Elephas maximus indicus: one gene and its partner. The main gene of each other region encodes a partner of the protein of the gene in region 2 in a complex. Links are inferred from orthologs where the notes say so. Each region holds a gene or a part of one and is shown on either strand. Other genes may lie near its edges.

Region 1 (7,862 bases), on a different chromosome or scaffold from region 2:
TACCAAAGCCAAAACTTATTGCAACAGAACCCTGACCAGAACAGGACTTGCCCCACTAGGCTCACCTTCCTAGGGTAAGATAGCGATCCCACCCAAAGGTGTTCCATCCCCACTGGCCCTGAGCAGGAGATACTCATGTCTCAGCACAGAAAATCCAGAGTTCAATCACCAAGTCTCTACATACCAGGAAGGCCACAGTTTGGAGGAGACTATGAAAAGATGATGTTTTCCTGGCATTTCAGTTGTATTGGGATGAATGATTACAGTTGGGGAGACATGCTACTATAGGTTTCTCACCTTTACAATCAAGGGCCATGGATTACCTGGCCATTTGTCTCTGGATATCTGCTTTGGAAGAGGAAGGCAAATGATTTAAAATGCAAAATCAGGAAGAAAAAGGTTGTTGTTGTTAGCTGCCACTGAATTGGCCCCTGACTCCTGGCGACCCCATGCACAACAGGATGAAATGCTGCCCTGTCCTACACCATCCCCACGATTGGTTGCAAATTGGACGGCTGTGATCCATAGGGTTTTCACTGGCTAATTTTTCAGAAGTAGATTGCCCGGTCTTTCTTCTTAGGCCATTTTAATCTGGAAGCAGATACTAGTCTCCTTTTTTCCCCAGCAGGTCAATATCCAGACATCATATTCCTCCATTATTCCTTGAGACTCAGTTAACTTCTGTGGCTATCAGGGTGTGTATGTGAGTTTAAATGCTTCCAGAATTGGTAATCGGGATATATGACCCCCTTTTCTCACACACACCCTTATGAGGGACATAGGAAGCACCCTGCCATGCCCTCAAAATGAAACACATGTGAAGACTCCTCCTCCAAGTGAGAATAAACTTTCCCGATGTATTTCTATCAATTTTCTATCGCTATGTCCCCAAGTTACAATTTCTAGAACTGTGACATAGACCTGCTGGCCAGACTCTGCCAGGTTATTTATAACAAGTATTTTTTAAGGTAAGATAGGGGCAGGACAAATTCAAGTATATAAAGAAAACAGATCTATAGGGAAAATAGTAGCTCACTTTGTCCTTTTCTGGGGTGATGGGTTGATGGTGAAAAAGCAAAGAAAATGGACTAAAACTTGGCCATGTCAGTTTAAGACTGGGAACAAAATATTCCCCTGCTGGGTTTTTAAAGACTCTGGGTTTTTTTTTTTTTTCTAGCTCTCTGCAACTTCAGCACCATGGAGTGACACACTGCCCCCAAGCTCTTCCATAACTGGCTTTTATTGCTTTAATTAAACAAGACTAGGTGGGACAGATTCACTCCATCTCTGTATTATTATTGTTGCCTGCTAGTGGCTTTTAGTGTGTAGTGGCTAGCAGCAGCTCGTCACTTCTTGCACTTGATGCCTGGCCTGCACACTTAGCACCTTATTATAGGCTGGCCTCTCTTCTAATTACCATGTGTCTCAATTGAGCACTTTATTTTATTGTCTTGTTCATGCACTAGTTCAAGTGCTTGGGTTCCCTAACTATTATAGATTCTAAACTCCTTTTGGGCTGGTGCTGTGTTTTGGGTTTCCTTTTTATTTCTTCAGGCCCATGAGAACACTATAGACCTCTCAGGCATGCAAACACCACTTCCTGGTTTTATGAAGTTTCTAGATCTATCCTGGGAATATGGCACATGGTTGGAAGCTGGGATGCCATGCCTATTTCCACCCTCCGTATCAGATCCTTCAGCCTCCTTCACTGGTGAGGGCTCTCATCAGCTTCTTGGAGTTATGCTCTACTAGGCCTGTATCTAACTTTTTTTCTCATCTAAAAGGTTGGGCTGAAATAGACAGAGAAACTTTCCACCAGCACCACCTTCCATGTTCCTCTAGAAAAAAAAATTTAAGGATGTGAGTTTATGCTTGAAACAGACTTCTCACTTACTATTTTTATAGTCCTTGGGTAGTGCAAACAGTTAACTGTTGGCAGTTCAAACCTACCCAGAGATGCCTTGTAAGATAGGTCTGATCAGCTTCCGAAAGGTCATAGCCTTGAAAACCCTATGGAGCAGTTCTACTCTGCAGACCTGGGGTTACCGTGAGTCAGAACTGACTTGACGAGAGCTAACAACAACACAGTTTATAGGGCAGTTGCCAATTCCATAACAAACGCAGGCCACCTTCTCCAAACACTCCGGTGAATGAAACAGATCCTGGGGGGCGGGGGGCTGGGGGAGGACGGTATAGGTAATGGTTAGAAGTACAAGCATGGGAGCTAAATCGGCTGGGCTCAAATTCTGGCTCTGCTACTTACTAGTCTAGCTATGTGACCTGTGACCATGGTCAAGACACTTAATCTTTCTACACCCCAGATTCTCAATCTGTAAAATGGAGATAATGATAGTATCTGGCTCATAGGGTTGTTGTGAGGACAGAAAGCGTGAACCTTTGTAAAGTGTTTAGAACACTGCTCGGCACATAATCAGCACTATGTAGGTTTGTGTTAAATAAAATTAATAGAGTTCAGCTTTTAGAATATACAGACCTACAAAAATAATATACCCCTGAAAGAATATGACAGTGATGGGAAAACAAGCTGGTTGAATGGAATTTTTTGCCATCCTTAACTTCTTAAATTTTTGGCTAAAAAAAGAACTCTGAATTTATGGGTTTTAAAAATGTTTAATCATTATCACAGCAAATGTGATAAAAATGTTCTGGAAACATTAAGTAGAACAACCAGTGAAGGTGCACTGTTTTAGTTGAGAATTTAAAATAAATAGTCTATTGTTTATACCTCTTACAGCTACTTAGCCTAATCTATCAGACATCATTCGTAACAGTATTTATGTTATGTAACTTAACAGTATTAGCAAAAACTATGGACGCTTCCCCAGCAAGAAACCCTTTGTCAGGTGTCAGGACAGCTCAAATATATGTTGTGTATTTTAAAGGACATATTGAAAGATATTTTCTATAAAGATGACTCCATGGTATCCAAATTCAGACCTTTCTTGCTCTGTGTCTTTTCTGATCTGTGAATTTGCTGGCATCTTTTAAATCCCCAATCCCCTGACATATCCTAGCAACTAAAATCCCACTTGAAGAGGCTCTCTCTTCTGAGCAATTACTAGTACAAAATATGGTTTCTCACAGTCCCTTGTTATCTCAACACACAGTTCCTCACATAGAATTCAGCTGCCCAACTACACACAAAGGTATCTATGTACCACAACAGGTGGGGCACCTGTGCCTTGATTGGGGAGGGAACCCTTCTGGCTTCACCTCTCCTAGTTTCCCTGGAGAGCAAAGTTCAACCCTGGAAGACATCTTCCCTATAGGTGCACCTTTACAGAAAACTACGTAGACTTCAGAAACAAATGCCTAGTCTAAGAAAAAGTGATCATCTATTTTGGGGCTCAGCAGTTAAGTGCTTAAGAATGCGGGCAGACACTTCCTCTCCGTACCCTTCTCTGACTCACCTCCTGGTTCTCAGTCCCACTGCACCCATTGGTGCTACCATCATAGCTCTAACCACAACGTTCTGTGGTTCCCTCGACCCTCCAGCCTCCCCCTCTGCACAGGGAGCTTCTCTGGGCAGAAGTTGCATTTTACTTGTCTTAGTGTTCCAAAGCTAGAACAAAGCCCATCTGTAGTAGGCTCCCAATAGTTATCTGTGAAATTGTACCGAAGCCAATATCTGAGAAAATCAACCATTCTTTGGATAATCAAGCTGTTAAGGTTTACTTTGGTTTCTGACAACAGAGAAGGAGGTTCCTCAAAAACGGGACACGAGGAAGTCATCAGACCCATTCCTTGTTTCAACCACTTTGAATCAACTTTCCTCCATTTATCCGCATGGCCCCTTTAAAACTTGTACCGTACCGAGTCTGCCCCGCCTTAATGGGCTCCTGTGGTGACCCCAGCTTCACCTTGCAGGTATCCTGTCTGGATATCCAAGGCCCAGAATTCGACTCGGCCACCGCGCGGGGCTGGCTTTTTTACCGGCAGCTGCCATAGCTCCCACGATCACCCCCATCAAGCCGGGACTTCCAGTCCCCTATGGGAAGCGCTGGGGGCGCCCCGGCACTGCGCCCGCGCCAGCGCCGGTTGCCAAGATCCTCCTTACTTTTTTCGGGACAATGCTCCGGCGATCATCCGGGGAAGTGGGCCCTGCAAGGTCCTGGCCCCCCGACCCGTTCGATTCGTCCTCGGAGAGAGGAGGGGGGAGTTTGAGGGACCGGGGGAAGGCGGCGACGATGCCTCGAGATTAGTGACCCCACTCCCCGCCCGGACCCTTCCCACGGAGACCGAGCCGAAGAGAGCTTCATTGCTTCTACTTTTCAACCATTCTAGGAACCAGGGAAAGGGAGGGGCGGGAAGAGTGGGGAGATAGCCCCCCGGGCCAATCACGACGTCCGGCTCCTTTCGGGGTCTGTCAGTTTCCTCTCTCTTACACACACATGACCTGCTACTTCAACTCCAGCTGTGAGCAAACTGCGCCTCGTGCCTCTCCTACTACGAGTCCCCCAGCCCTGGCCCGCGCGCCTATCCTAACCCCAGTTTCTTCACCCCAACCCGAGTTCCCCCTTCTAACTGACCGTGAAGCCGGTGGCAGTTCCCCAGTCCCAGGCCGCCGGGGAGACTCTTGCCGCCGCCGCCGTGGCCACAATTTGCACTCCCCGACACGGGTCCCGGCCTTGGGCTGCGGCGATGGCTCCCCGGCTCCCTGGACTCGGCCAGACACCCGGCGGCGCGCAGGAGAAGCCCATCGAGCTCCCGGCGGCGGCGGCAGCAGCGGCTGCAGGAGCGGCCGCCGCGCTGGCTGATGACGTTCGGGTGCAGGGGGCGCGGCCGCCTGGGGGAGGGGGCGCGGGCGGATGACGTACGGCGAGCAGGGCGACTCTGCAGCATGGCGTCCGTGGCGCTGAGCGAGGCGGAGAAGGTGTACATCGTGCATGGCGTCCAGGTAGTTGCAGCAGCAGGTCGGCCGTAGAGTTACGCTGGCCCTGCGAGCTGCGGCTGGCCCTCGGTTTCCCGGCTGGGGAGGCCCCAGGTTGCCGCGAGTCTGGATTTACCTTGTGATTAAATGGCTCGGATTCTGCATCCCGAAGCCGGCAACGCGGCCGTTTTTAGGACTGGGTGGCGAGCATCCATTTAGGTCTCTTCTCGTACTTGCAGCTTTTCGGGCCTACAAGGTTCTGAACCTGGGTAGGAAGGGGTGGGCGCTCCCAGAGGCCTTTCTTGAGGTCTTTCCTGGGGGAAATACCGCCCCCGGACCATCTCTTCACCCTTTGCGTGACGCTTCGCTTGGCCTAGTCTCAGTTTTTTCTTCTAGGAAATGGGGGGAGGTGTGTTTCTGGCTCTCTTTTTCTCAGCTGGCGGTTTGGTGGCTCAGAGAGAGCACACACCCGCTTTGAAGATATATATTGCCTTACAGATGAAGGAGGGATGTTATGATTTAAAAGGCGGCTTTGCAGCCAGTAGCGTAATTCTTTCTGTTTCCCATTTTGCCATTGGAGAACTAAGATCCCTAAAAACAGCTAGAACCCATTGTCTTTGCTCAGACTTCAACCCCTAGTTTGGACCACTCCAGAAGTAGAGCTGGAGGATGTTGGGCCTGCTAGGAGCTACCCAGCTTCCTTCTCTGGCTCTTGTTATCCTTCCTTCACTCTTGTTATGCCACTGCGCGGCTCTCCCATCCCAGTTCTCCAGCCCACCTATGGCAGAGTTCTGAGGGCAGCTACTGCACCCTCCCTCATGCCCTTTCTCAGCCAAGGCAAACTGCAGTCAGTGGTCCCGTGATGTAGGTAATAGATTAGGCAGCCAGCTATCATTAAAACTCCACAACTGAGTTAAGGCCGTGTCCTTTTTAAAATTGTGGCCTGCTTTTTTTTTTTTATTGTGTGTGCCTGTTACAGAGGAAGTAAACATCAATATTTAGCTGACAGTTTGCTTGTTTGTTGTGTAACAACTCAGCGACACCTGAACCCAAGGTGGGCCACATCTCCAAGAGACTGAAGAAAGACTCCAGAACCAGTCATCGTGACATATGGTTTATTGGGACACTTACTTACAGGACCGTGGCCCAGGGCGGCAGCTGGACTAGTTTAGTGCTCCACAATCACCTAGCATAGGACACGAGCTTATATACCATTCCAGCTGGGTCCAAGGCTCATGGTTTTTCTCCCACGTCCTTGGGCAGTTACCGTTCCCAGGGACTTCACGTCCAGGCCCAGATGTTTTTCTTCTTGTTGCTAAGGCTTTCCTCAGCCTTGGTCACTGGCCTAGTCACACCACTCCTGTCCTTGTACCTCAGCCCAAGTCCATCCTGAATTCATCCCCATCATGCTTTGGGGGAGAGCAAAGCTGACTCCATTAGGACGGTATGCATATAGCTGAATAGGATTACCCTACAATATTAAACCTGAATAATAGAGTCAGAACGTAAAGGTTCATGAACTTTTTAAGATCTACTTCAGGGTCAGCAATAAGGAAATATATGTGTGTGTGTGTGTTACTGAGTGGCGTATGTATGTTATTTGTGTTTGGGAGGTATAAAACCGTTCACAAAGCAATTAGATTTGTCCTTCCCTGTCTTATTTTTGTGCCAACTTCGTTCAGATGATTTTCCTCCTCAAAGGAATGCTTAGGGGAGGCATTAAGGATTATGTTTTATTTCTAAATCTAAAAGCCTTTAGGTTTTTTCCTTTGCTACCACAGCCAGGAAATATTGGTTACACTTTACAGCCAATTCTCTCTCACATTCCATCTCTGACAGTGGCACCAAGGGACATAGGATAGGAAAATAAGTGAGTCCTCCTTGTCTGTAACCTCCCTAGGTTAGAGATGTCTTACAAACATCCTTAGTTCCCATGGCAACTCACTGTCCAACTGCCTATCAGAGACCCACTGAGGCTATAAGCTTTTCTTCCTTATTACTTTAAAATCAGTCAGCACGTCATTTATATTTATTACACACCTGTTATATGTTGGGTGCTGTGGGGAGGGAAAAAAAAAGCTACAGTCTGGCCCCTGAGATACTTAGGATATAGTTCGGGCAACGTTAGTTGGTTTTATTCACCATTTTATACCCAGCCCCCATTGTATTATGTGGGAAACAGTAGGAGTGCCAAAACATACTTGTGAAATAAATAAATGAACAATAGGGGAGAGAGACAGGAAAGATGAATAAAACAAAAGCAATGGCATATAGGATATACGCCAAGGGAGCTAAAGATTTCTGGGGGCTATAATGCTCTGGAAGGCTTCCTTAAGGAAGTAGAATTTCCAAGTGTCCCCCCTGTGTATCTTTGGGAATCAGTATTCATTCACCACAGAACTGAGCTAGCCTTGGGAGGTAAGACGGAACCTGCCCTTATCTTGTTCCCATGCTAGAAGGAAGATGCAGGAATTACAGACCCATTTGTTTATATGTTTAACTGAAAATTGTACTGAGTGCTGTGAGTGAAAAAGCTTTGGATTTGATCCAGTCTGGGAGAGTCCCTAAGGAAATGGCGTTTGAGCTGAGCCCTCAGAATGAGCAGGAGTTAAGTAGTCAAGAGCCTTTTAGAAGGATGGGATGGTGAGTCCACAGGCCCTTCAGAAGAGGAAGTGTGGAGCCCCAGGGGTGAGCTGGGGATAATAGTGGAAGACTGGATTGCAGAGGTGACCAGAAACCCAGTTACTTTCCTATTATGGATCTTGGTGGGTAATGGTCTATTGACTTATGTGTATGGTATCTTTAAGGCCTAGCCAGCGTCCAGCACTTGGTAGGAACTCAGTGACATTGAATAAGTATGGTAGGCCGTAAAGGGGGGGTGGGTTAGACAGTCTTTGTTTTTTAAGTCAACCCTCACACTCACTAATACATGGAAACATTAGGGTCACAGTTCATAGTAAAAAATATTTTT
Region 2 (7,850 bases):
GCCAAGTGGTTTAATAAGCCTGAAATCCCTATTTTATTAGGTCAATGTAAAGGATAGAATGTTTTCCTGTGGGCTCTGCACCAGCCAGAAGAGGAAAAAGGAGATTCTGAGACAGGATGCCACCCAAAGAGGCACTGATGCCAGTTAAATGGGCCTACTCGCCACCTCTCCTACCCGATGGCTGCCCTTTCGCAGGCCTCTTTGCTCTGATTCTAATGATGATATGTTCCAATGCTCAAGGTCAGTCCCTGGGCCTCTTCACTTTTCAGTTCACACTCATCTCTTGGTAAGTTCATTCAATCTAATGGCTTTAAATACTACTGATGACTACCCCACACACTCCATTTTAATGACTAATAGGCATTTTCAAATTTAACAAGCCCAAAACTAAGCTTGCAAGCAACCTCCTCTTCTCCTCTCCCCATCTCAGTAAGTGGTGACTTCATCCCACCAGATGCTCAAGCCAAAAACCTTGGAGAGGCATCCTTGATTCCTTTCTGTTTCTCATGCTCCATGATCAGTCCAGCGGCAAATCCTGCTAGCTCTACCTTCAAAATATATGCAGAATCAAATCACTACTCCCATTTCCACTTCTACTACTTCATTCCAAGCTACCCATTACTTCAGATGAATTCATCTTCCTAAATCTGCCCCGATTCCCCTTCAACTTCCTCATAGCAGCCAGACCAAAAAAAAAAAAAAAAAAACTCAGTGCCGTCGAGTCGATTCCGACTCACAGCAACTCTATAGGACAGATTTTATTAAAATATAAGTCGATCATGTCCCTCCTCTGCTCTACCCCTCCAATGTCTTCCCAGGTTACGCAAAGTGGAAGCCAAAATGCTTACAATGGCCTACAAGGCAAGCCAGACTGTCCTCCCACCTCAGCTCTCTCTCTGCCTGTATATGCTCCTACCGTCCCCCTCACTCACTGTTCCTGGGGCTAACCTTTACTTAGCCCTTCTAGGTACTAGGCTCTGTGCTAAGTATTTTACATAAATTCATCGCTTCGCTAAATTCTAACAAAAATTCTAGAAGGCAGTTTGTGTTTTTATCCTCATTTTGCAGAGGAAGTAACCAAGGCTTGGAAAGGTTAAGTAATGGGGGAAAACCTTACATATAATCTCCATACAATCTTTCTTACAGTCATGTTCAAAATCACAGACTCACAAAATGATAGGGCAATTGGGAGGAGGGAGACAGAATAGACTTGGTCACACAATATGTTGTCTCAAGAAAGAGAATACACACCTTTTGTCCTCACCTGGTTTTCAAAGCTTTCACACAAATCAACTTGTTTACTCTCTCCACAGAGCCAGCCACAGATGCTATGAGCTTCTCTTCCCCCATATACGTTCCATGACCCCTGTTGCAAGATACAGATACAAAGGATACTAGGGTAACACTTGAGGTGACCTCTCCCCTCAAGAACAATGTGTTCCTCAAACCTAACACGCTCCTTCTGCCTTAAAGCCTGGCTTTTGTACTGGTTACTCTACGGGCCTGCAACACTGCCTCTCCAGAGAGCTACACGGACGTCTCCCTCATCTTCGAGTCTGTTCAAACATCACTTTCTCCATCTGACCTACCTCATTTAAAACAGTAATCCACTCTGCTGCCCATACCACCACATTCCCAACCCCATTCCAATGACCCTGCTCTGCTTTTTGTTTTATTATTGCACTTTCACCAAACATTCTGCACAATTTATTTATTTGTTGTGATTACTTAATTATTATCTGTCTGTCCCTGTTAGAATTTAAACTCCGCCAGGACAGAGATTTTCATTTTGTTCATTGTTGTACCCCAACCGCACATAATATAAATGTATCGAATGCCAAGAACGCAGGAATGAGTTTTAAGATTTCCGAGAATTCAATAACCTCAAACTGGGCAAAAAGGTGGCGTAGTGGTTAAGTGCTATGGCTGCTAACCAAGGGGTCAGCAGTTCAAATCTGCCAGGTGCTCCTTGGAAACTCTATGGGGCAGTTCTACTCTGTTCTGTAGGGTTGCTATGAGTCGTAATCGACTTGACGGCAGTGGGTTCGGTTTTTTGGTTTTGGGCAAAAAGGCAATGTTGTAAATGCTGTATTCCTCATATATGTACATGTGTCTCCCCCACCCCCTGCAAAAAAAGAAACAAACAAACCAACTAAAATGTTAATAGTGTTTAAGGTGGGATTATATAGGGTCGCTATGAGTCGGAATCTACTCAAGGGCAATGGGTTTGGTTTTTTTTTTTTTTTGGTTTGGTGGGCTCTGTTTCTCTTTTTCACATTATAATCTCATTTAATCCTCACTACCTTCCCAGATAGCTACTGTCATCACTATTTTACAAACGAGGAAATAATGTTTCAGGAGATAATGCCGCTAATAATAAATGATGGCAGCACGACTGGAACCAGGACCGTTTCACTCAAGAGCCTGCCCTGTTAACCATAACAAACTACATTGCCTTTAGGTCAAAGATTGTATATTCCGATGCATGTAGCACAATATATTTGTCTGCCTTAACCCAAACTACTGACTCCAAAACCCAGCCCCTGGTCCCAAGATGACACTGAGGGAGATGGAAGCCAAATCAGAAACGCCCACCGTTCTCCTGAAAACTGGAAAGAGGCCCTTGTTCCAGACTCTCCCCAGTTTTCCAGGTCTCCAACGAGGAAGGCTTAGAGATCTGGGCCAAAGGCAGAGGACCCGAGAGACCACGGCCACCAGAGGTCAGGAGAAAAGGGCTTCAGGGGGCTGAGACAAACGCGAACACACAAAACAGAGAGTGAGAAGCCCGAGTCCTCGGAAACCCGGGGACTGGGGTGCTCTGGAGATCTGCGCTGAATGAAGGAAGGGCTTAGACTCTGCAGGCCGGGGTTTCGGACTAGTAGGCCACGTGCTGAGCCCTGCACTCGCTCACTGGAGTCCCGAGTCCCCCAGGTCCCTACATACCGCATGAAGCCCGTGTCTGTAGTGATCGTGTCTCCCGGCACTACCAGGTGTTTTTTAGTCTCGCGACCCAGGCTCTCGCTGAGAGGTTTGCGAGCCACTGGAAGTCTCATCTCCATCGCCATCTTGGCGCCAATGACTTGCGCAGGCGCAACCGGGCCCGGAGCCACGATATCCGTCCCCGCGATTCCCCGCGGACGCTCGCAGGGGCGGGGCAGAGCAGGGCCTTTGAGAAGCCGCCAATAGGCGGTCACGGGCTGGCGGCCATGTTGACTAGTGGCAACCCTTAGGTTAACTTGAAGGGAAAGAGGAGCCGAATTGCCATGTTTACTATTGGCAAGGCTGCGCCAGTGAAATAGCAAAGTTTCACGTTGTGTGACGCCTGGATTTTTACCAAAACTGCCTCGTACACACTATCCCGTTTACTGTTTACCAGGATTAGAGATATTTGAGAAATGGACCTCTGAGTTTCCTGACAACTCTAAGCCGCTAAGAGTCTGGTTCTTTTTTTTGTATGAAAGAATCTAGAAAGATCCATAGGTAAGATCTACAGAAAATAGTATTGGACAATAAGGAGAGCCCCTTTCCACATCGTTCCTAGTGGCTTATTTTACATTACAGCCAGTATTTTACATTACAGCCCCCGTGTAGGTTGCTGGTTCGGCACCAACCATCAACTCCTCCCAACAATGTTCCGCATTGTTCACTGGTTTTCTACTTTCCTTGTAACGTTCTTTGAGTGAGCTGATTTACTTTAACATTTCTTTTGAAAAAACAAGAAACTGTCTTAAAAAAAACCAGTCAGACCTTGCAGGGCAGGTATGTTTGGCAAGGAGAGCAAGTGCCCACATAACACAAAGATTCTCACCTGTATTTATACTTCTTGTGAATTGGCGCTTTCTGTGTGCCAGGCATCTTTCTAAGGATGCAGCGAACATGTGTATGTGGCTTCACCTCCACGTCCTACTTAATGCGAGCATTTCCCTCACCCATTTTTCCTGCCCCCCACTATGCTCTCCCTGGCCCTTGTCCTTCATGGTTTATAGCACAACAAACTTGTGTTTCAGCCTCGGGAAATTGGAGATTATAATTCTTCATGCACAGGGACCATTAAAAAAAAAAAATTTTTTTTTTTTTAAGGATTAAATGGAAGAACTGCCTGCATTAGCCACATACTGCTTGCTCTACTCAGTAGATCAGGCCCGCTGCTTCCTGAAGTTTTATCAGATCAATTGTTTTATGAATTTCCAAAAAGAGGACACTTCTTTCACCTAAGCAAGGCTCATGACTACCAACCCTGTGAGGCAATCTCTGATATAAATGCTAGAGCTCTGCTGGTCATTGGACAAGTGGGCAGGTCAGACCCTCACCCTCCTCCCTACCTTGAGGAAGGCACTGGAGCAGAAGAAAGTACAAGGGCCCATCTGTTGAGTCAAGCCTTGGCCATAAGAGGGCAGTGGTGCCCTGCGAGCCGACAGAGCCCAGCCAGTTCAGAGCAAGATTCTGCGTGCCCCTAGACCAAGGGGTGGGGTATAGTCTTGACATCTTGTTTTACACTAGGAAGGATGAACAAAACCTTAACTCCTTTAATTCTCACAGCACTCCTAGTTTACAGAGGGAGCCCTGGTGTTGCAGTGGTTAAGCACAATGGGCTGCTAACAGAAAGGCAGTTTGAACCCAACAGCCACTCTATGGGGGGAGAGATCGGCAGTCTGCTTCTGTAAAGATTTACAGCCTTAGTAACCCTATGGAGGGAGTTTTACTCTGTCCTATAGGGTTGCTATGAATTGGATTTGACTCAAGGGTAACAGGTTTTTTGTTTGGTCATCACGTTGGTATTAAAAGTGATTGCTGCGGAGTCGACTTTAAAGCCAAGTGTGTCAGTGTAGAATGGATGCTTTCTTATAGATGCACAGGGACTATACAGAGGATTAAATTATCAAAAAGGATGAGAATTCACACAGCAGATGGTGCCAGAGCCAGTGTTCCAACTGTACCTGCCTTACTCCGGGGCCTGCACCGTTTGCTAAACGTTTCCCAAAGGCCCGGGCCTTTGCTGGGCACTTTAAAAACATTGTGTTATTGATTCCTCACAACAACTTGGCCCATCATGGAGGTAGGCATTGTTAGTTCTGACAGTCATTTGGGGCCGTTAAGTCCCAAAAACAAACTGGCAGCTGGCCTTCCCACCCCAGGCTCTGCTCACTCTACCACACTTGCCTCTTCACTACCTTGTGGATGAGTAGACTCAGGAAACATGGCTGCACGTCCCAGAGGACTTGTTGAAAATACAAGCTCCAAGCCCAGATTTAGGCATTGAGGCTTTACAAGCGTGAGGCCCGCAGGTCTATCAGTATGTGTTTAACTCCCCATGTGATTTTAATCGTTGGTCATTTTAATTCTCGGATTCCTCCATCTACATCTCAATCTGTGCATCTCTGTGGCCACTACTCCAGGCCAATCAGTGTCACCACTCACTCGAGTGGCTACAATAACCTCCTAGTTTGCCTCTCTAATTGTGTATTTGCCCCTTCTACCATTTAGTCTCTGTACAAGGGCTAGAGGGATATTTTTAAATCAGATCAGATTAAATTTCTCCCTGCTTAAACTTCTGGTGGCTTCCCCTTACACTGAGAATAAAATCCAAACTCATCATCCTGGCGTTGAGGCCCTGTGGGACCTGGCCCCTGCCTGTCTCTGACCTCATTTGCCTATATATCTGTGCATAAACTTTGATTTCCACCCACATAACGTTCCTGCCCTGAGGCAGCCTTCTCTACATAACATCCCTACCCTGGGGCAGCCTTCTCTAGCCAGGAGCCCAGGAGTGGGGGGCCTGTCTTACAAAACAGATGTCAGGTGGTCATGGGTGGGAGCTATCTAGTCACACTCCATAATTTTCCCCACCCAACCACAGACACATACTCCTAGTGGGCCAGTTCCAAAGCAGGAAAGAAGCTGAAAACTTAGGATATATGATCCTCCAGTTTGAGAGACCCAAGGGTCATAAGTATAGAAAACAGTTGGGGGAAAGGGGTTTAACAGCTGCCTCAGATGCCCTCTTGGGGGTGTCTACAACCCCTGGCACACACCAAAGCATTCTTTTATTAATAACAGCTCCCATATATTGAGCATTTACTATGTACTGGACACTGAGCCATGTACTTTATTCATTTATATGCATTATTCCATCTAATCTCACAACATCCTTAGGAGCTAAGTATCACTCCATTTTCCATGTGAGGGAACTGAGACATAGAGACGTTAATTGACTTGCCCGAATTCACACAGCTAGTGAGTGGCACAGCTGGGATTTGAACCCAGCCTCTAGAGTCCTTCTACTACTGAAAGTCCTGGTCGATGACATAAGGCAAGAGAAAGAAATAAATGGCATCCAATTAGAAAGGAAGAAATAAAACTCTCTTTATTCACAAGCAACATGATACTGTACGTAGAAAGTACGAAAGAATCTACAAAACGCCACAGGAACTAATAGGTGAGTTTTACAAGGTCACATGAAACAAGGTCAGTGTACAATGCTGGTCTACACTGCACCCCTATGGGAAATGCAGCAGGTCCTTTGGACTGAATCTGTGGACTGAATGGGAAGTGGTGTGCCCTAAAGCTCCTGAGAGTCAGATGCCTGTGGTGGAACCCTGCTCTGCCACTCTTCCACTGAGTGATGTGGGCAAATGACTTGCTCTCTCTATGCCTCAGTTTTCTCATACCTCAAATGGACATAAAAAGAGCATTGGCCTTGTGGGGTTGTTGGCAGGGTTCCCAGAATGCATGCATCTAAATCCCTAAGCCTGGGCTGGCCCACAGAAATTGCTGTGATTGTGTTCACATGCTTTTGTCCAGGGAGTGCACGCTTGGGAAAGGGGGTCAAGGTCTCTGCTGGAAATGCAACCAAGGTGAGAGATAAGGCTTTCGGCGTCAAGCCTCCCAGCACCATGAGCCCTGTTTGTTCATCCTTGTTTCCCCAGTGCCTAGCACAGGCCCTGACACGTGTCTGTAGAAGCAGGTCAGCTGGCAAGCCAGTGGCACCTCGGTCTGCAATTACAGCTCACTGCCACCAGGTGGGTTCTGGAGCCTGGGTTGTGGCCCTGGTGTTAGCTGGGACTTAACTACCTATGGAGAACAATTTAAATTTTTGATCAAGGACGCCACTGACTTCTCTGAAGTCTGACTCCTGCAGGTTCTTCAGAAAGCCAGCATTTTACCTTATTTGGGCATTACTGTCTGGGAGGCATGAAGTGTGAGCCATGATGGTGTTTAATTCCACTTCACCCGTCATCATCCAGAGGGAAGGGGCCTCGGGACATACAAACTTTGGCTGTGGGGACAAGATGCCTGGGTGGGGGAGGCAGTGTGTGGAGGGTGGTACCAGGGGCTACCAGAGGCTTCGAAAGCCTAGTGGAGAGGCGTCAAAGGAGAGGCACTAGGCGAATGCATAGAGACAGAAAGTGGAATCGAGGTTACCAGGGTCAGGGGCAAGGGGTAATGTGGAGTTATCGCCTAATAAGTATAGAGTTTCTGGTAAGGATGATAAAAAAGGTTTGTAAAACTCACTTATTGGAAATAGCGGTGATGGTTACACAACATTGTGAATGTAATTAACATTACTGAACTGTACACTCGAAAGTGGTTAAAATGATAAATTTTGTTATATACATTTTACCACAATAAAAAAAAAAACTACCAAATAAATAACTGTATGAATAAAACTGGCTGCCTGTTTAAAAAAAAAAAAAAGGAGAGGCGAAGTTTGTGACCGGGGGTGGGAGGAATATCAAGGATGGCTCTGTCACCAGCCAGAGGCAGGAAACCCCAGATGGAGCCTGCATGTGAACACATCAGTGTACTTCCCTGCCTGTGCCCCACCAGCCAGGGCATGAGATGACTCCCAC

Evidence for each region. Proteins that work in one complex are often made in the same cells at the same time.
Region 1: EXOSC2 (region 2) and EXOSC7 share a complex: the UniProt entries of both Homo sapiens proteins name them as parts of the RNA exosome core complex. The link is inferred for Elephas maximus indicus from reciprocal best matches to the Homo sapiens genes EXOSC2 and EXOSC7.

The regions. Positions count from the first base shown.
Region 1 is NC_064838.1:49,285,087-49,292,948, forward strand, and holds the start of EXOSC7 (exosome complex component RRP42), read left to right. Parts: upstream 1-4,839; 5' UTR 4,840-4,861; coding exon 4,862-4,918; intron 4,919-7,862. UniProt on the Homo sapiens protein: Non-catalytic component of the RNA exosome complex which has 3'->5' exoribonuclease activity and participates in a multitude of cellular RNA processing and degradation events.
Region 2 is NC_064827.1:81,633,980-81,641,829, reverse strand, and holds the start of EXOSC2 (exosome complex component RRP4), read right to left. Parts: upstream 3,102-7,850; 5' UTR 3,066-3,101; coding exon 2,944-3,065; intron 1,367-2,943; coding exon 1,265-1,366; intron 1-1,264. UniProt on the Homo sapiens protein: Non-catalytic component of the RNA exosome complex which has 3'->5' exoribonuclease activity and participates in a multitude of cellular RNA processing and degradation events.